Astyanax mexicanus: one gene and its partner. The protein of the gene in region 1 purifies or fractionates together with the protein of each later gene. This does not show direct contact. Links are inferred from orthologs where the notes say so. Each region holds a gene or a part of one and is shown on either strand. Other genes may lie near its edges.

Region 1 (11,245 bases):
CTGTGCATCAGATCCAAATGTAAATACCTGGAAATACAAGCTGAAATGTTAATCTTTTAATGTCAAACCCAAATGTTTTCAGTCTACAGCAGAAATAAATGGATTGGACTCGCTGTTCCAATACTTTTGGATGGGACTGTATATCCATCTACAGTATGAACTCAAATATGTCAGATAACAGGAAGAGAAATTTCCATATCGTGCTGTCATGCAAAAACCTTTTATCTCCAAAATAATAACTTCGCAGCAGAAGGTGGAAAAACTTTTTAACATTCAATGGAAGTCAATGGATGAAGATTATATTCATTAATGTCACATTACATCATAAAACAAAAAACATTAAAAAAAAGTTTTTGCATTGAAATTGATGTTATTTAAAGTTGCATCAGAAAAACACATTTAAAACAACAGAAAAAAACGTACGAAATAACTGCTTCCCACCTGATTCAAGAAACGCTTGAAAAAAAAGCTCCCACTACTGGCCACTTGCCTTTACTTGTCTCACTGTCTACATAGCTCAGTAGTTTTAAAACTATTTAATATTGGCATAGTAAAACACAACAAAACTTAAATGCTATTGTTTTAATAAAAGCTTGCAATAAATGAAATATCACTAATAATAACACAAATATAAAACTGTAAAATAATTAAAAATACATGTAGAGTTAATTGAACTGTACCTTTAAATTGACTAAAATTAGACTAAATGTTTTGAATAAAATTGGACTACAATGTTTTCAGTTTTTATTGAATACAACTAGACTAAAACTAAGAACTAAATGACTAAAATCTATCAGACATTTAGGCAGAAGACTAAAACTAAGCAAATAGTGTGTGAATAGAGCAGGTCAGAGAATTCACATTGGGTTATATCATGTCTTACTACACAGGCCCCGCCCCTTTCCCAAACAACAGGGAGCATTTTCTGTAATGAGAATCCCCCTGACACAAATAATCCTCAGCTAAACGCTGCAGTCCTGATCTTCTGGACATTTTCTATAGTTCATAATGTGGAAACTGCACAATTTTTCTTATCAGTTGTATCAGATTGACAGTATTTCTATTATATATGATATAAGATATTTCATTTATGTGATAAAGAAGCATATCTTTAAAAAGAACTTTAAAAGATTCAGCCTTGGTATATATGTGTGAGCACATAACTAAAAAGTGCATCTATTGTAGGTTTGTAACTTTTGTAAGGAAAACAACTATTATGTTATTGATAATAAAATAGATGCTGAATCTTGAAAATGTTGCAGTCTAGTACTGTACAACTGTACAGATGAAATTGAGCAATTAAATTGGAATTACAATGCTGTCATTTTATGATTTAATATAATCATACACAATTGTTTCTTTATTAATAAGGGTCAATATGACTGGACTTTTGCACTTTGGATCCCAAAGTTATGACAATCCGTTTAGTAATGTTATTAATCTGTGTGTGTGCTTGTGCGGGTGTGAGTTGGCCTATGACAGATATATCAGCTATTTATATCTCTGTCAAAACAGCCACATCATAGCATTTCACACCCATACTCTTCAAAGACTGTCATGTGACCTAATAGGTTTCATTAAACTATGAATATGAATCAACCACAGAGTTTAAACCACAGGGTTTGACTCATTTAGTGCTGCAGACACTAACTGTATGTTTTACTCCATGTCATATCCAAATGTTTGTGAACACCTCTATTAATAAATATATTCAGCTACCCTTGTGAGAAGGAAGTATAGTTAAGAGCATTAAAATATGTTAAATTAGGTTAAGAATAAGCATCTTTTTAATATACTTAATGACAATACGCAAAGTAGTACATTTACAATATACTTAAAGTGTGTTAAAAATGATGTTTAAAATAACCCATTCTTAATTGTACTTGAGTTTGAAAAACGTATATGAAAAAAGCCCTCAAAAGCACAATCTAATACTTTTAAGTTGTATTTAAATATAGGTCAATTACAACTGATATATACTTAAAGGAAAACTCTAGTGGAAAATGGACTTTTGTTGTAGTAAAACATGATAAAAGTACAAACCTTTGATGAATAGCACATCTCCGTTCTCCCACAGCGTTCCGAGATCCAAAAATTGAAAATCCGGAAAATGAAATGAAAATGAAATCTGGAAAGCCTTGACATTTTAAACGAGGCATTAATAACTTAAAAAGGTGCACAAGAAGCTGATGCCAGCTGCTACACTATGCGGAGTCTATGTATATAGCAGCCGGTGCCATGAGTAATGGCGGCGCTTGGAGCTGAAGTTAGCATTATGGGTAAACAGTGTTTTTAATAAGCTTCTTGGGCACTTTTTAAGTTATTAATGCCTTGTTTTAAATGTCAAGGCTCTCCAGATTCTAACAAGGAGGTGTAGAGCTACTTTGAGCCTGAATAATGGTGGAAAAGCGATTTATCAGGGCAAATTAAGCCTGTGTCACCCAGTCTGAAGGGTGTTTAAACAAACTGTTAAAATTTCTGGATCTTGGAACACTGTGGGAGAATGGAGGTGTGCTATTCATCAAAGGTAAGTACTTTTTTATCATGTTTTACTACAATAAAAGTTAACATAAACCTACTGGCTGTGTAAGGGTTGTAAGAAAATATCAATATATCAAAGTATCATAATATTTTGTTTTGTAATTTTGTACTGAATCTTAAAAACGAATCGAATTATTAGTTTACATGTGAAGATTGTTGTCAGACATAGGTTCATTTTGTGTTGTGTTTTGTCGTTACCCCTGTATTATGATACATATCGTATAGCCATGTTCTTGCAAATACACAGCCCTAATTGGCAGCGTACTTCATACCAGGAATGGGATAGAGGGGTATAGAGCCCCCTCCCCCCTTACCCCACCCCCCACAGCATCAAGTGTTCCATGATGCTCCATCCCATACTTTTGGGTTGACTTCACTAGCTTCTACAGTGAGTGAGCACAATCAAATCCTCACACCAAAAAGTGCAAAACCACAGTATATATTCAGTGTTTTCTCTGAAATCAAGCCTAATAAGAGTCAGTATTCCTCATTTACTCATTTACTGGCTGCTGGCAGGGCTTTAGGCTAGATGTAACACTAGTATTTTACTCTAGATATAAGAATCTGATTGCATTCATCTAAATTAGCAGCACCTCAGTCATTCCGCCACTCCAGCTCATTGCAGAAGTAGCAGATTGAGCTCAATCATTTCAGAAAACACAGTTCCACACAGTTCCACTGCCCTACAGCCCAATGCTGGGAGATTAAAGCTTTCTATCGAAAGCTTGCCACTGGGAATTGAGCTGTGTGCACAGAAATCACACATGTGTCAGCAGTGGGCACATTTTAAAGCAGTGAAAGCAGCTCTAAGTAGAAGCACTGTCTAAATATTGGATATGTTTCTCAAACATGGGCCTATTTAAACTATATCCCACCCACCTTCCTGTAGGCTTTGTAGACGGTAGCATAGGTGCCACTCCCAAGTTTCTCAGTCAGAATGAAGTCAGCGAGCTTCGGTGGGGCAAAGCTCGAGGCCATGCTTCCCTGGACAGGACACATCCACCAGCTCCTGCCAAGATCCAGATACATAAATACACTACATTACACAGTGCTGGACAGTAATGAAGTACATGTAATCCCACTGTACTTAGTAGCTTGTACTTTAGTATTTACATATAATTTCAATACATTTCAAACTCATATTTATTACATTTTACTCAAATACATTATCAAAATGACTACAAATACAAATAATGATTAATTCAATACAATATGTTAAATCTGTAGTTCCTTTCAGTTTATGTGTGTATAAAATGCTTTTGTGTTCTCTTTAAATAAAATCATTTTTTTCTTAGTAAGATTTCTTTAAAAAGCAACCGCAAAGTCTCAAAATGAGTGAAGTAAAACTGAGTCTCTTCTAAGTAAGACTAAGTAAGATAATTATTTCATAAATAATCTAACTCTTACAGTGCTTAGAAAGACAAAAAACTCTTATCAGGGGAGAAAAAAGATTTATTGCTTTAAAATTAGAATTTGACTTGCTAAGATTGCTATGGTTCCATCACGCTGTGGGGCTGTGTGATCAGTGCAGGTACTGGGAATCTTGTTAAGTTAAGAATCGCATGGATTCCAGTCAATATCAGCAGATTCTTAAGAACAGTGTTGAAGAATCAGTGAGAAAGTTAAAGCGCTGGGGCTGGATCCTTCAACAAGACAACGACCCTAAACACTGCTCAAAATCTACTAAAGCACTAGTGCAGAGGAACAAGTACAACATTCTGGAATGATCATCTCAGATCATCTCAGTCTCCAGACCTGAATATTATTACTAAAAATCTGTGATGTGATTTAAAGGGGCTATTTATGCTCAGAAACCATCAAACCTGACTGAACTGGAGATGTTTTATAAAGAAGAAGGATCCAAAGTACCTTCAACCAGAAGCCAGACTCTCATTGGAAGCTATAGGAAAAGTTTAGAGGCTGTTATTTCTGCAAAAGGAGGATATGCTAAATATTGATGTAATTTTTCTTTTGGCGAGCCCAAATTTATACACCTGCCTAATTTAGTTTAAAGAATTTCACACTTTTTGTAAATCACTTCACAGATATCACTGTGTTCATCTGCTATATTATATATTTAACTGAAATTGCTCATCTGAACAATCAATGATTTATAAAGAAAAATTATAAAAAAGGTCCGGGGTACCCAAATGTTTTAATATCACTGTATTTATAAAGCCCACAGACAGACAGACAGAACCTTTCTTCTGGAGTTACCCTGTTTACCCTGAAGACCCTGTGCTGTCTAAACAAAGCTGAAATTGGCTTGAATAAATAAGCAACAGCTCATTAAATAAATAGGTTAGTTAGCTTGTTTACTAGTTAGGTTAACTAAGTTACATCATTCTGGAGTCATGAATATATAAAATACAGTATTTCCGCTTCAGCGCTCAGCTAGATAACTGAATAACAGGCTGACCAATACCGCAGCTTCACTGTAGTCCCACAGGGAGGGTTTAAATCTGTAAATATGGCTGTTTCTGAGCTGTTTTACCTTCCTTTCTGGGGTAAAGAGCCGCTTCAGCTGGATGAACTGCAGCCCGATGTTTTCTTCCTGTGCATGCTTACTGTCAGCTGAAAATGACGTCAGCACGCAGCGAAAACTGCGCCCCAGTGCTGCCACCTACCGGCCACGCTTCACATCTCCACTGAACACTCCCACCATTAATAAAACTGTCTAATAAATATTCTAGATAAAATATCCAGGTTACCTAAAAAAATAGAATATTTTTGATGTATGATGTTGTTGATTTTTGGAATACTGCCAATGAAAACCTAAAAATAAGTTTCTCAGAAAATTTTAATATTATATAAGACCAATTGGTACTTTTTGTATCAGTGTGGGCAGTGTGCTAAGTCCTGCTGGAAAATGAAATCCGCATCTAAAAGTTGTTAGCAGAGAGAAGCATGAAGTGCTGTAAGATTTTCTGGAAAAAAAACTGCACTGACTTTAGACTTGATATTAAAACACAGTGGATCAACACCTGCAGATGACATGTCTCTCCAAACCATCGCTGATTGTAGAAACTTCACACTAGACCTGAAGCAGCTTGGACTGTGTGTCTCTCCACTCTAAAAAATAGCTTACAGAGTAAAATCTATGACAATTAAATCTGCAATCAAAATTGTAAAAATCAAAAGGAAAAACTGTACGTTGAAAATTCAAAACTGAAAGAAATATACTTGGTAACTTTGTTATTCTTTGCAGTTATTTAAAAATTGCTTGTGTTTAGATGTTGCCAGTTGTTGCCTTCATTTTTGTGATTTTGTTATTGTTGTCTTTTCACTACTGGAACTCCTATTTTTTTCTACTTTATTTTTTGTACCAATATGTACATAATCTGCAATTTTGAATACAGATTTAATATTTTTGTATAAACATTTTGGCACCAAATTAACTCCATGCAGTTTTCCATGTTTTTTTTTTTTACTGTACATAGACCAAAATCTCTAAAACACACACAGCATGTTAGCACATTCAACATTTTATTCATTTTTTAAATCTTCTTTTTTTTTTTTTTTTTTTTTACAAATACTGTCAGTTAAAAAAATCTCTTCTACATAAGCTTTAATCATGCTGGGCTCATTAGCTGATTAACCAGGGTTTGAGCATGGAGTTGCATCCATCTATAATCTGACCATCATAAGATACATTAAAATCTATGTTTAAGTTTGCTATATCACATGAATATAAAAAATGATATTTTTCCTCTAAAAAATACAATTAATTTCATACAGGGTTAAAGGACTAAATTCTTTACATAATGTAAGCAAAACATTTTGTGGCCTAAGCTTTCTAATAGGAGTGTTACAATCAAATGTACCCATGTGTTTTCATTACGCTGCACACACGCTGCAATACTCTGAATGTCCACCAGATGTCGCACACGCCTCATATTCACTACTTACAAGTAGAGTAAACTATTCCAGATTAAAATACAAAGAGAGTGCAGATCTGTCCTCAAAGATACAATTTTGGGTGAAATTTTTACTTTAACTCCACTACATCTTGTTTTTTTCCTACTACATTATACAAATAACTTCAAATACAAAAATACTATTTTACTATTATATAAAAAATGACTATTTTAATATTGTACTCCAATACGTTTTGCAGACTCTTTTATTATCAACATGTTCAAACCCCTATAAACAGCTCTGGGGAAAAAATAAGACACAACTTCAGTTTCTGAATCAGTTTCTCTGATTTTGCTGTTTATAGGTATGTGTTTGAGTAAAATGAACATTGTTGTTTTATTGTATAAACTACAGACAACATGTCTCCCAAATTCCAAATAAAAATATTGTCATTTAGAGCATTTATTTGCAGAAAATAAGAAATAGCTGAAATAAAAAAAAGATGCAGAGCTTGTAGATACTGCAAAGAAAACAAGTTCATGTTCATAAAGTTTTAAGAGTTTAGAAATCAATATTTGATGGAATTTTTAGTTTTTAATCACAGTTTTCATGAATCTTGGCATGTTCTCCACCACCAGTCTTACACACTGCTTTTGGATAACTTTATGCCACTCTTGCTGCTAAAATTCAGCAATAGTTCAGCTTGGTTTGTATATTGGCTTGTGATCATTCTTCTTCTTCTTGATTATATTCCAGAGGTTTTCAATTTGGTGAAATTAAAAAACTCATAATTGTAAGTGGTCTCATTTTTTTTCCAGAGCTGTATATATCTGAAGTCTGAGTGTGAATTACTTTGTGTTCAGTTAAATATCATAAATGTCCACTAGATGTCTCCATATCTCTAAAGTCCAGTTTATTATAAATGAAATAAATAAGAGACCCCGGGGGTCAGACGGAAAGGGGGATTTAAACATGGCGGACCGCATGGCGGCACGTTTAGCCGCTCAGGAGCGGCAGATCGAGGCTCTGGGGCGGGAGATCGGCCGCCTGCGGGACGGGCTGGTTAGCGGGCAGGTCGCCGCGGAGCTGGCGAGCAGCGCTGAGCTGGAGAACCTGCGCAGCGAGAACGAGAAGCTCAGATACCGGCTGATACACCTCCGCCGCGGCCTGCAGGCCGAGCCGGGACCGGGACCGGGACCGGAGCCGCGCCGAGACCCAGAGCCCGGTAACACCACCACCACCACCACCACCAACAACAACAACAGCGTTCAGGAGAAACAGAGGAGCACCAGAGAAACAACCTCCAGAGACACAGCCCAGAACAAGGTCTGATACACTGATACACTCATAACAGAGATTTATTAATTATACCAGGGTTATTATCACTGGGGAGAGCTGGGGGAGTGATATGGCCTATGTGTAATATAAGCTAAATTAAATCCAAACCTTAAAACAGTGTATTTTGTGTAGGCCTGTCACAATAACCTGTTTTGCTGTATAAAATATTGCCCCAGAAATAATTGCAAAAAATAAAACTGTCAATTTAATTTAATATTTCATGTCACTGACAAAGATAATGATGAAATAGTAGGGTAGTACCAAAATACTCTGTTTATTATATTATTTTATAATAAAATATTTATTTTATTTAATATTTATTTTATATTATTTTTATATTTTTGTAAATAGTGAAACATAAAAGTGGACACGCTGGATCTTTGACATTAATAGGCTCTCCTCACTAAAGAAATACAATAGTACATCCCAGACAGCAAAATTATGCGAAATTAAACACACATTAAATGTGTATATCGTCGCTGTCCAATACTAAACAATATTTAACATTTTGTTGATTTTGATTTTAGTGTAGTGAGCATGTGAACACACACACATTATCCCTTACTCTGTGTGAAAAAGTCTTGATAAATGGACCAATAGGAATTCTTCAGAATTACCTAAAATAAAATAAAATCCTTTTGTATTCATTACCATTGAAAGTTAAGAAGTTTTTTTTTTTGCGCTCCTGTAAAGTTGCTGTTTTGGACGATACACTTTTTTTTATGGACAGCTGCACTGTGTTTTGTTGAAAGTTTTAATTATGTAGCAATTTATTTATTTATTTATTTTTAATTAAATAATTAATTTACTTTTTTTTTTTTGAGGGAAGCGCATTGCAATATCGATGTTAAAGCAATATATTACGCAGCCCTAGCTAAATAAAACACAGTCCAACCTTTAATGTTACCAGTATACAACCCATCATATCACAGTTACAGTGTGTGCTGAAATAATGAAGATGCCACAAAGCAAATTTATTGTTGTATTTTTTCTGTGTCCTTCTGTCAGTTTAGATCAGCTCTTATACAGAACCAAATAATGCTAAATATAATGGACCTTTCCTTTTAGATGTTGCTTGCTCATTTTGGGAGATGTATTAATATGATTTGTATTTTAATATTTTGTTCTCTTTTGAAATGCACACTCCAGAATGCTGCTCTGCCGAAAACTCCAGATGCCCAAAATGCAGCAGAGAAGAGCAAAAAGAAGGAGAAACCCAAAGGAGAAGCTGGAGCGGGAGAAGTATATATATTTTTTATTTATAGATCTTCTTTGAAATACAAAACTAGAAGAAACAAGCTCTTTCAATCTTGCCTCAACCCTCCAAAGCAATATATAGAACAGAGCATGTATGTGTATATAAAATGCTCATATACATAAACAGTCACAAGCATATATTAATATAAATTATAAACACACAAAATATTAACACGAAAAAAAGGCTTGAGGAAATGTAACCTAAACACATGATGATGATGATAAACACTTAATCTGCCTTGTCTTGTTCTTAAGCGGTGACTATACCAAATTGTTAATAGCCTATACTAGTTAAGCATCACTAAAACATGTTTTTCATGAATATGAATCAGAAAATTACAGCAGGGTGTATCAGACTAGTTTAAACTAGATTTTTCTGTCTGAATTATGATTACAGCACTGAACAGAAGAGTGAGCTCATGATCCACAGCCCGTATAGATTGCATTGCTATTGCATCATAAAGCCTGCCTTCTTTTTAGACTGGCTTTGGTGTGTGTCCATGTTAGTACTGACCCGTGATCAGCAGCGGGATCAGTCTGTCCAGACTCTAATTATACTTATTATATCACAGTAAGACTGTGTCTGTTCCAGTCAGACTCCTACTCTCTGTAATTATTATAAATAAAGATAGTTGCAGTAATTAGCATATATTGTGTGGGTGATTCTGTATGTGAGGTTCCATTTAGCGTTAGTAAATTTTCTTTCAGACAAGGATTTAACAGGGTTAAGGGTTATTTATGTAACTAGTGCTCCTGGTAATGGCATGATGAACATGCTAATAAAAGAAAACCTTGTGCCCTCCTCAAGTCAACAGCCATGTCTTTGGTTTTATTCAGATTTAGAGAGTCCGGTTCTGCACCAGCTGCAATAGGAATATTGGAACTAACTCATGTGACTGGGTTTTAAAAGAGCATTTAGAGAGAGTGAGCCTTCAGAAGCAACTGTGGGCTCCATGTTTCAAATTTGAGAAGCAATTCTAAAAAAAATGCTCTTTAAATAACATTATGAAAACTGTAAATAATAAACCTTAAAATCCTGGTGTGTAGGGGACAATACATGGTGATTGCTTGTGCATGCTGTTGAATCTATACTGGAAATCACTGCATGGGATCAGTAGAACCTCATTCATATAGCTACCTAGATGACTTCATGAATGATGCAACATTTAAAAAACTGCCAGTGTCCAGCTGAGTTAGCTAAGCTCTAATACCTGCAAGATTAGCCTCATGCTAACATGCATCTTTGCCCACTACAGCTAAAGCCTTGGCCGAGCTACATCTCCGAGCGCTTAGAGCTGTACAATCGACTGAAGAAGGAGAGCGACGCCATTCTGGCCAAGCAGGCGGCTAACAGCCAGCCCATTTCAGTCGTCCTGCCTGATGGACAGAAAGTGGAGGCTCAGTCTTGGATCACCACCCCATACCAGCTGGCCTGTGGCATCAGGTATACATATAGTATTTTTTTATTTACACAACTAGTATATACTAGTCATCTCATAATATTATAATGTCATTAAAAAATTACTTTATTTCATTAATTCATTAAAAATATGAAATTCACATATTATATATAGATGTATTACACACAGAGTGATCTATTTTAAATGTTTATTTCTTTTATTTTTGATGATTATGGCTTACAGACAATGAAAACCCAAATATCAGTGTCTCAGAAAATCAGACCAATTGGTACTTTTGGCAGTGTGGGTAGTTCTGCTGGAAAATGAAATAAAAGTTGTCAGTAGAGGGAAGCATGAAGTGCTATAAGATATTCCATAAAAACGCTGCGTTCTATGATGTGTGTTGTGTCTGTGTATTGCTGCAGTCAGGGTCTGGCTGATAACTGTGTGATTGCCCGTGTGGACGGTGGCCTGTGGGATCTGGACCGGCCGCTGGAGAAGGACTGTTCACTGGAGCTTTTGCGCTTCGACCATGAAGACGCTCAAGCCGTGAGTATCTGACGCTTTTAAATATTTGATATTAAACTTTTTTTATATTGCCCATTAGAATAAAAAATCGAATATTATATAAAAATTACAAAATTAGAATATTATGTAAGATCAATTGGTACTTTTAGCAGTGTGCTGGAAAAGTCCTGCTAGAAAATGAAATCCACATCTCCATAAAAGTTGTCAGCTGAGGAAACCATGAAGTGCTGTAAGATTTTCTGGGAACCCAACTACGCTACACTAAGACGTTTAACTGGCAACATAAGTGTGCAGAAAAAAAAATTAAATTGCAATACATTTTT
Region 2 (11,218 bases), on another chromosome or scaffold:
CTCCACCTCCAGGTCAATGCACATGATCACCAGGTAGTTCGCTGTTTCCTCACACACCAGGTGAGGATTATCCGACAGGTACTTCTGACTGTCGTCCCAGCGACGCAGCATACCTACACACACACACACACACACACACACACACACACACACGCTAACCAGTCACTGTCTTTCTGATCCAGATTCAATAAAGCAATATTACTTTCACACACAGCGACTTACCAAAGTGTTTTATCTGTTTTTCATATTTCTCCACGAAGGTTTTATGCTTCTCCTCTTTCTCCTCCTCCGTCTCTTCCTTTACTTCAGGCTTGACATTCAGTACACTCTATCAGAGAGAGAGAGAGAGAGAGAGAGAGAGAGAGAGAGATTAATACAGAGCAGCAGTAACATTATACTAAACTCTAAAGTGAAAGGTTTATTAGTGCTGCACATTCTGATGGTGCAAAATATTTATTTTTGTGAAAGCAAATGATAAAGAACCTCCATGTGAATCAGAAGTGTTTCAGTCCAGACTAAAGTAAAATACAGAGCAGGTGATCAGATCAGAGCTCATATCAGACTCCAGCCATGCCAACTGTCCATAAACAAAACAGCTAATAATACTCCTGTGCAAATTCACATGTGGGTAAAATATTCCAACTTATTCACAGTCTGCAGAAACTCAATGAGATGTTTCTTCATACTCAGAACAGTATCCTCAGGTTCTGTCAACTCAACTCCGGAAGAGGCGAGACACTTCTGGTATACGGGCAATAAGACTGTATATTACACTGTTGGAGGTGATGGCAGTGGGTTTAAAATGATTAGAGTACCACGCCTTCATTTAAAACTACAGTGACACGGAGCAACTCAAGAACCTCTGTGTTTTTAGTTTAGCTCTAGATACCACAGCAATTACCTAAAACATCCTGATTTATGATCTAAAATACCTAAAGGCAAATGTATACTTCTGCATCGAGCCTACGCACCACTGCTTACTCTACTCTGCATCTCTCTGGAAATGTAACTATATGTTGTGCGACACGGACAGCCACAGCTGTGATTGGTCAGCCGGCCCCGTGTTCTCTCACACACATTCTTTTTGCAATTTAAACTGCAGAGCGACGCAGAGCTGCTGATACATGCATGCAGAAGTATAAACACGCTCTGCTGCTAGGTACACAAACTACGGCGTAGGTTTGACGCAGAAATATAAAAGTATTGAGCTTTAGAATCCACCTGAAAACAATATTAAATGTCTTACAGACAGTAAGTGGTACTCACACTACAGTTACTACAGAACAGGTTTTTACACCCAGCTTTTCTCTGTAGTAGAGTAAAATCTATAAACGGTCCGACCTCTGAGGTGTTTCTCACCTTGCTGAATCCTTCTTTGCTAAGCGTGTCCACATTCCAGGGCATCTTCTTCTCCTCTCTGCGATACTCGTCCACCTTCTTCTCACAGTTCCTTTCCTCCTTCTTCAGACGCTTCTCCTCCTCCTGAGCTTTGACCAGCTGCTGCTTGGCCTCCTCTGTACTCTTCAGTGAGAGTTCCTGGACCTTCTTCTGAACTTCCTGAAGCTTCTTCCTGCTCTCCGCCAGGTTCTTCTCCAGTTCCTCCCCCTGTTTCTGAAATGCCTCCATACGCTCCACTCGAGCCTGAGGGTGTAAAACAATCAGAGGCTTCAGGACAGAGATAGACACAAAACAATAGCACCCCCTACATTTTCTGTAGTGTACTATAGTCTGTCAGAATAAACGTGTGGCATTAAGCAGACCTGCTGATCTAGAGCAGACTAACAAAAATATTATACAATACTGTCAATGATACAGACATTACAGAGTAATTCTGAATAATCAAAATATTTACAACAATAAAACTAACAATAAGCTAAAGCTGAATTTTTTTATACCCAGAGTCAATTTACATTAACTTTAAGAACAAGAACTCCTATTAGACTCATCATGATAATGCAGATTTAATAAAGGATTTAGAATTTATACCTGAAGCAATGAACGAAATCTATGCATTTCCTACACAAAAAATAACAGGACCCTGTTCTAAAATAATAAGTTGATCAGCACTAGCTTACTGAAGCTTAACCAGCTTAGCCAGTCTATACTTTTACCAACACCAGCAAAGAACCCCACTCCCTAATCCTAAAGATTAATCAACTGATTAAAAAGAGGATACATTAAAAGAGGAAAATGTATATAGACCTTCTCCTCACACACCCACGCCTGTTAACAGAAAATATAACTTTTATATTAAATCATTTTATTGATAATTTAGATAAATTTAAACACAGGCACAATAGTAACAGATGACATACTACCATCTTTACAACACTGTAGTGTCAGTTAATCTAAAATACAAGTGTTTGAATCACAATTAACCCTGTTAATTAACACTGTTAATTCTGATTTAATTTGATTTGGCTGTGCTGAAACACAGAATGTCCAGCTCGAAACAGTGAACAGATTTCATTAAACCACAACAAACAATACAATATATTAAAATATAATATAAACAATACAATATTATTGAATATAATAATACAACATTATATAATATAATGTAATATAAACGCAGAATTTATCCAGCAGCACCGCTAACGGGTTAGCCAGCTAACCTAAAGAGCTAATTATCTAAATCACGTATCTTCTTGTTTTATTTAATTAAATCCGTTATTAGAAATTGAGATAGTTGAGATAAAGCGGCGGGTTTAACCGAGTTTAACCCCGTTAGGAGATACAGATCATTTACTGCTGTTTTTAAGTTTAAAGTTCTGAGGTAAATTAGCTTCGACTGCGTTTCAGTGTTTATTTAATCTCTTAAATCAGCGACCTGCTGCTTTAAAATCTGAAAAATACTCGAGTTTTTCACAAATTGTAGTCAGAATCAGTCTGAGGAATTAGTTAGCTTACCCTAGCTTAGCTTAGCCTGTATAGAGTTTTCAGTGAGTCAGCTAGGCTAGCGGTTAGCATCAGCTAATGTCCCGTGTTTATTATTTTTCGGTTATTATTATATGTAATGTAAGATTCTGAAATCAGCGGAACTGATTTAAAGCGCGTGGTTAATGATTTAAAATGCTTTAATGCTTTATTGGTGTGTTAAAAGCGACAGTAGTGAGATTTAGCTCCGGTTCTGAGGGGAAATGAGCTAAGCTAGCTCCACCACCGGTCACACTGTAAGCCTGGTTAGCTATCAGCGGCTAACAGCGAGGATTTACTGTGATATCAGTCTTTCTGTTGACCATATAAACGGTTAATTATCTGTACATTAGTGTATTAATCTGTATATTAAGTTTAACTTATTTATAATTCAGCAATAGTGGAGTTTGAGTTCTGAGAAGAAATTAGCCTCTGCTGCTGTTCACTCAAAGCTAGCTTAGCTTAGCGTTTGTTAAGGTAGATTTTATTAATATTGTATAATTTATATAATTTAAGGCGCAGTAACCCGATATAGCTCATTACATTAGTGATTAATGCTTTATCTAGTGTGGCGTTATAGACATGTCACAGCTCTGGGTCAGTACGGGGTTGTGATTTAATTGCATTAGTTTAACAGTCAGCATTATTTTTTTCCCAGTATTTTACTAATTATTTGATTTATAATGTGCTATATTCTACTAACCCCATTTAACGAAATTACCCGTGTTTGGTTTTGATTAGTATTACTGCCTTACGTATGCAAAAATTGCAATTATTTTTCGGTTTTTAACTTTCAAAGCTTTGAGACTAAGCTTTAGCTTTATAGCTAATCGGGGTGTTTCCAGCCAGAAAGCACATAACTCACTATTACTATATTACCTCTTATATTCTTATTAGTTAAATAATCGATGTAGATGTGTTTAATTTACTGTAAGTTCTGTTTGAGCACAATGACCATGCAGTGGATGTACACGGATTTGTACAGGTAAGGTAAATGTCCATTATTACAGTTTAATACTTCAATTGTTCCACGGCGAAAAGGAAATGATTTACACTGGTTTAAACATGATGTGATGATAAATGACTCAGATGGGTTTATATATATATTATATATTTCTGTTATATATTATATATATTTCTGTATTAAGCAGGATTTAGGCTTGATGTATTTGTGGGTTTTAGCCTGAAACTCAAGTCAAAAGACTAAAGAGTACAGATACACAGTGTAAGAAACTTACTGATCTCGGATCCATGGTGCAACATGGAACAACAATACAATGCACAACATAAAATTGTAAAAGTGTTATGATAGTGCAACATAAAACTATAACACTACAATAAATACAACAGACGACACAGTTTAACAGGCAGGACAGTGCAGTGTTTAAGAGAGAATAAGGTGCAGAGATATGTAACATATAGAACATAGATGATCACAGCAGATACTGAGGTAGATTTTTAAAGATTTAGAGAATGAAGCAGCAAATAACTGGTCTCTCTTGTGAGTAATGTAAAACACAGAAAGGTCCAGTATTACAGTAGAACAGAAAACAGAGAGCAGCCAGATCTCCTCTATATAACAGGTGTATAAGGTGGAACCTGTGTACAGAATCAAGTGTGTTGTTACCTGGTGTCTCCACCTGAACAGGCTCGGTGTGTCGATGTTGGGGTGTGTATCATCCTCATCGTCAGACACCTCGATATGATCCCACACGCTGTAATCGATAGTTGTCATGGCTCTGTTTATTCTCCTCTAATTCCCAATCAGATTGATTTTGTATAATAATAATCAATAATCGCGCTCTCCTCTTTCTTCTAGAGCTCTCCTCTCCACCCCACGCGCCTTCTGGAACTCTCCAACACTTCCGGCGCCAGAGGGCGGGGCAACGAGGTGGATCACCACGCCCCTTCCGGCTGTGTTACCGCAGAGAGCTGCAGCGGTTACCATAGCAACAGTGTCACCAGTCCAATAGAAACGCACGGTGCAGTAATCGATGCATGCATATCACAATACATAATCAATACACATAATCTATACACAATTATCTAAACATCTAATACACACACACAATTCTAATATAAATAATATATATATATATATATATATATATATATATATATATATATATATATATACTCATGTATATAAAACAATATATTGTATACATAAAAATACAATTATACATACGATTAAAACATATTCTTACATATAAGAGGAATTAGAAATTCAGAGGTATAAAATGAAAGTGTGTGCAGGGGCAGGAGTACTGAGGTATAAAAACCAAACATTTATTGAATTATAAATCACTCTGGTTTACATATATCATAAATACTTATTTTACTGAAATACAAACACACACGTGTACAGTGTTTAATAATTAAACTGATCAGCTTAATAATCTGATTAATAATAAACCAGTAGTATTTATAGTAAACCAGAAAGAGGCTGTAATGATTAAGTTGCTCCACTAGGGGTGGCTAAAGACTAAAGAAAGAACAGAATTTCAGGAGATTCAGTACTACAGAGCGGAGATGCAGAATCTGCAGGCGGTTCTGAGACTTGGTTCATTGTTTGGTTCATTGAGCGATCAGTTCTGGCCCAAGCAAAGCCTGGACTATACAGGACCTCTGAACATATCCTGTGGTCTCTGTGTCAACACTAATGTTAAAGGTGTTTCCTCCACAGCTCAGGTTCTGCTGTATTTTAAAGCCTGAGTTCTTCCTGAGTTCATTATCATCTCATTAGGTTCTGTTTTATCAGGGGAAAATACTGTTAAATCTCTATTATATGATTACAGTAATTAAAAATAGAACTCATGTGTATGATTGTTATACATTTGCAGTTCTACATACAATTTCATCACTTGCAAATGCCTCTGGACATAATTTCGTATGAAGTGCTCTATCAGGAACCTAAAAGTAGAACACTTGTAAGGTTAATAGTTTTCTTAAAGATTCTTCAAGACATTTTCCGACACTATGTGTCTGTTCAGCTCAGTCTTTGATCTGGACAATTTAGCCTTCTCCATTCACTGGGTTAAATAGTTTTCCAGTGCCAGAGCATTGTGGAAAGTGTTGTGTTTCCACACCCATAACCACTCCTCTGATGCTACATTGTACAGACTTCTGCTCAGTAAAAACAATCTAAAGAAGAATATACTGACTGAAGCTCTGATGTTAAGCTTAAACTTATCATATTTTCTTAATATCTGATCACACATCATAATTTTATAAAGTTGTACATTGTAAATATATTACATACAGCTCCTGTAAATAACTATAATAAAAAAGTCTATTATGCATTGTTAGGTTTTTCCCTCCAGTGTAACAAACACATTTACAGCAAAGAAAATCAACCATTATTAGATTTATTATTTTTAATGCAAAAAAAATGTGTAAAGTAGTAGGTCAGTTATTTCTAAATACATAATCCATTCAATGAGAAGGTGTATTGTGCTGTATTGTGTATTAGCTAAGATTAGCACCTGCAGCCTGTACACATTACATATATATGGAAACTATTTCTCTCAGATCAGTTTACTGAAGATAAAAATACCATTTATTCACTGTTCATAATTGTGACCACCAGTGGTATGCGGGCTAGAATATCTGAGACCGCTGTGCTGCGTGGGGTTTTTCAGAAAACTTCAAAACATCAGAACATCAGTGTGACTGGAGGGTCTGAGAGTCGCAATGGGCCACGTTGGCGTTGTGCCGCCGGGACGCCAGGTTCCTCAGGATGTAGCGGCCCATGTGTGTGTGCCGGTAATGCTTGCAGTACCAAACAAAGAGTCCAACTATCAGCAATGCCACCGCAACCGCAACACAGCTAGCGATGATTGGCAGGTTGTCTTCTGATGAGGGCACTAGATGAAGGAACATCAGGAGATTAGGTCAGATTTGTGTGATTTATGTTTAGGCTGTTCTAATCTTTAAGTAATATGTTCTGATCACTGGAGAAATATAAAATTTTATTTCTTTATAAAAACATAATACATGTCATAGTCTTAGTTTTTACTTGTTACTTTTTATTTAGTTCTCATTTTGTTTTCTGTATGAAAAAAGGTCATGAAAAAATATTTTTGTTTATTAAGAAAATGATCACTGCTGGGAAACAATGTTTAGGGCTCATTTTCTCCAGAAATATAATTTCTATTTACATGAAATTTGGCTGAAATAAATAAAGCTATAGTGGGATTGAGACTGATAGCTCAGAAGGTTCCTGCAGGATCTTGGATGCGGTTAATTGGTTAATTGGTTAATAAGGGCAAAGTGTTATTAGTTGCTAATGGGATTAATGTTTTCAGGAGAGTGAAAAAACGTGATAATGGTAGGATTCACTTTGATTTTGGGGGAGCAAAATCTGAAACATGCAGCATCAGCCCTGCAGTAACTACACCTGTACATGTGATGGACGTTTACCCTGAATTTCACTCACCTGAAACGGTAACCGTCACCGTCACGGAGGCGGAGCCTTTGCTGTTGGAGGCGATACAGGTGTAATTTCCCTGATGTTCTGACTGGACGTTGCTGATGTTGAGGAGGGGGGAGTGCGTGATGTTTGAGTTACCTGTGGTCCAGGTAAACTGAGGCTTCGGTTTTCCTCGTGCCGAACAGTAAAACGTCAGCGCGTCGCCCGCAGTTTTGGATACAGTGGCAGCAGACGGCCGTGTTATGATGGGTTTATCTGATGGGAAAAGAATAAAGAAAGAACCAATTGCTACTTCTCTGAGACATACCATTAGAGTTAAACTGCACAACAATGACAACACAACTCTGTGTTCTGATTTAATGTTGTATGCAAATAACTCAAACCCTAAAGAATTCCATGCTAGTTGACGTTAGCTGACTCGCTAAATTCCCCAAATGTTTCCAGCAGAGAAAGAATGAAGTAAGTTGAAGGAACAGGACTGGACTACAGTAAAAATTCAGATTGGTTTACAGGTGAACTCACAGAGTACGGTTATGTTGAAGGGTTGGGATTCGTCCACTTGTTGTTGTTTGAACTGGATCAGGTCCAGTAGAGCCGAACACTGATACTGGACTCCATCTTCTTCTGGACTGGTCCAAACCTCCAGAGTGTCCGTCACATCCCCCTTTTCTTCCATTCTACTAGAAATGGTGAAATTCCTGGACTCCCTGATGGTTCTGGTTTGGTTTTGGTCCAGTCTGGTCCACTGCACTGTAAGATTACTGACTGGACCCACATTCTTAATCTCACACTTCAGCTTCCTCTGCTCACCTTCTGACCAATCACCATTATCACGAACTATCACCACACTGTCCGCACGCTCTGCAGAGAAACCACAACCAAAACATCACAATGACCATTATAGAGCATTATAGAGCGCCCCCTACACTTCCTGTAGTGTATTACAGTCTGTCAGAATGAGCGTGTGGATCATATGACCATTATAGAGTATTATAGAGCGCCCCCTACACTTCCTGTAGTGTATTACAGTCTGTCAGCATGAGCATGTGGATCATATAAACATTATAGAGCATTATAGAGCGCCCCCTGCGCTTCCTGTATTGTATTACACTCTGTCAGATTGAGTGTGTGGATCATACAAACTTTATAGAGCATTATAGAGCACCCCCTACGCTACCTATAGTGTATTACAGTCTGTCAGAATGAGCGTGTGGATCATATGAACATTATATACCATTATAGAGTGCTCCCTGCACTTCCTGTATTGTATTACACTCTGTCAGAATGAGTGTGTGGATCATATAAACATTATAGAGCATTATAGAGTGCTCCCTACGCTTCCTGTAGTGTATTACAGTCTGTCAGAATGAGCGTGTGGATCATATGACCATTATAGAGCGCCCCCTACACTTCCTGTAGTGTATTACAGTCTGTCAGAATGAGCGTGTGGATCATGTGACCATTATAGAGCATTATAGAGCACCTCCTATGCATCCTGTTGTGGATTACAGTCTGTCAGAATGAGTGTGTGGATCATATGAACATTGTAGAGCATTATAGAGCACCCCCTACACTTCCTGTAGTGTATTACAGTCTGTCAGAATGAGCGTGTGGATCATATGACCATTATAGAGCGCCCCCGGCACTCCCTGTAATATATTTCAGTCTGTCAGAATGAGCGTGTGGATCATATGACCATTATAGAGCATTATAGAGCACCCCCTACGCTTCCTGTAGTGTATTACAGTCTGTCAGAATGAGCGTGTGGAACATATGAACATTATAGAGCATTATAGAGTGCTCATTACGCTTCCTGTAGTGTGTTACAGTCTCTCTGAATGAGTGTGTGGATCATATGAACATTATAGAGCACCCCCTACACTTCCTGTAGTGTATTACAGTCTCTCAGAATGAGTGTGTGGATCATATGAACATTATAGCGTATTATAGAGCGCCCCCTACGCTTCCTGTAGTGTATTACAGTATCCCAGAATAAGTGTGTGGATCATAAGAACATTATAGACCATTATAGAGCACCCCCTACACTTCCTGTAGTGTGTTACAGTCTGTCAGAATGAGTGTGTGGATCATATGAACACTATAGAGCATTATAGAGCACCCCCTACACTTCCTGTAGTGTATTACACTCTGTCAGAATGAGTGTGTGGATCATATGAACATTATAGCGCATTATAGAGCGCCCCCTACACTTCCTGTAATGCAGACCTGCACATTGTACAGCCCGTGGGCCACAACCGGCCCTCTGACCATCTTTGCTCGGCCCGCGTGAGATTAGAAGGTAAAAGTTAATCTGTAAATCGCACTGTCCGCAGTGAAAACCTGTATGCACGTCTAAACAGTGTATTACGGTAGCTGCGTGCACAGCAGGGCTTTAGGAGCAGAGGCAGAGACTGAAATAGAACAGAAACTAGTTTTACAGCTGAATAAACATAATTCAACCAGCTCTAATCAACAAATATACACCAGAAACACAACTATCTGTAAAACAGTGGAACATTTTAGAAATAAAAAAATATGGGATTAATTAAAAAATTAATCCTATAAAAAAACAAATCAAATGGCTATCAAATGATACCACCCAAGTCCTGAAGAACATTAATTGTATTCATTATGGATGTTTCCGGCAATAATACTGAAAAATAAGAAAATAATTTACAGTCCTATAAAACATGAAAATAAAAAAAGGGTTATCATATCATATCAGTAAATTCCTAAAGTTCTCTTTCTCATGTTTTTAAGATATATATATTTAAGTGATATTACTGTATCATTTTGGATACCAAACGTAGGAAAAATATATATTCAGTTGGTCATACAGGGTAGATTTTTCTCACTAGACGTAAAAAACTGAGGTAAAACAAACATACAAATGCATGTATTGCATTTTTTTGTATAAAGTTAAATGAAGCTGGTCTTTTGAAAAACTTGATAGCTGATAGTGCTGCTACTTTCTAACACTGTTAATGTTGCACATTTTCAACACATTTTTTCATAAATGTTGGTTAAATATTTATATAATTATGTGCTTATCATTTTCATTACATTGCTATAATGTTTACTTTACTGTTCTTTATTAAGTTAAGATGATGCTGGTCTTTGAATAACTTTTATGTTATGTCAGGTTTCTCAAGTGTCCCCTTGAGAAAACTAATTGCCCACCCCTGCTGTAGTGTGTTACAGTCTGTGATGAGTGTGTAGATTAGGTGGGATTACTGTACTCACTGTAGAGGTTGAGTTTTAAGGGCTTCTCGCACTGTGTTCCACCGATAACAGTCAGAAAACAGAATATATCTTTTGTGTTAATCTCCCACTCCGTCAGACTGGAAACATTCCACACTGTACTGGTGGTGTCTTGTACTGGTTCTACTGGATGAATCACAGCCTCCCAGCCCAGCATGTAGGGTTCATTAAGTGTGGTCGTTAGGGAGCAGTTGACTTTAACAGCATTACCATATTCCACCAGCAGGGAATCATGGGAAAGCCGGATTGGGCAGTTATCTGTAGAACACAGAAGAAACAAAACCAACACCATTAAACACCAACCACCAAAACACCCTGACACCAAACCCCCACATCCCCCCAACCACCAAAACACCCTGACACCAAACCCCCACATCCCCCCAACCACCAAAACACCCTCACACCAAACCCCCACATCCCCCAACCACCAAAACACCCTCACACCAAACCCCCACATCCCCCCAACCACCAAAACACCCTCACACCAAACCCCCACATCCCCCCAACCACCAAAACACCCTCACACCAAACCCCCACATCCCCCCAACCACCAAAACACCCTCACACCAAACCCCCACATCCCCCAACCACCAAAACACCCTCACACCA

Evidence for each region.
Region 2: the proteins of ulk3 (region 1) and cdc37 purify together in Homo sapiens (affinity purification with mass spectrometry; 3 studies listed by BioGRID and IntAct, with this or other methods). This does not show direct contact. The link is inferred for Astyanax mexicanus from reciprocal best matches to the Homo sapiens genes ULK3 and CDC37.

The regions. Positions count from the first base shown.
Region 1 is NC_064416.1:38,659,544-38,670,788, forward strand, and holds the start of ulk3 (serine/threonine-protein kinase ULK3), read right to left. Parts: upstream 5,128-11,245; 5' UTR 5,036-5,127; intron 3,551-5,035; 5' UTR 3,541-3,550; coding exon 3,421-3,540; intron 1-3,420. Other genes in the region: tars3 (threonine--tRNA ligase 1, cytoplasmic), read left to right, coding at 7,372-7,725, 8,887-8,979, 10,251-10,438, 10,820-10,943. UniProt on the Homo sapiens protein: Serine/threonine protein kinase that acts as a regulator of Sonic hedgehog (SHH) signaling and autophagy.
Region 2 is NC_064428.1:42,795,447-42,806,664, reverse strand, and holds the start of cdc37 (hsp90 co-chaperone Cdc37), read right to left. Parts: upstream 4,794-11,218; 5' UTR 4,652-4,793; coding exon 4,544-4,651; intron 1,642-4,543; coding exon 1,360-1,641; intron 329-1,359; coding exon 223-328; intron 114-222; coding exon 1-113. Other genes in the region: probable serine/threonine-protein kinase nek3, read right to left, coding at 6,580-6,782, 7,355-7,603, 7,871-8,209. UniProt on the Homo sapiens protein: Co-chaperone that binds to numerous kinases and promotes their interaction with the Hsp90 complex, resulting in stabilization and promotion of their activity. Inhibits HSP90AA1 ATPase activity.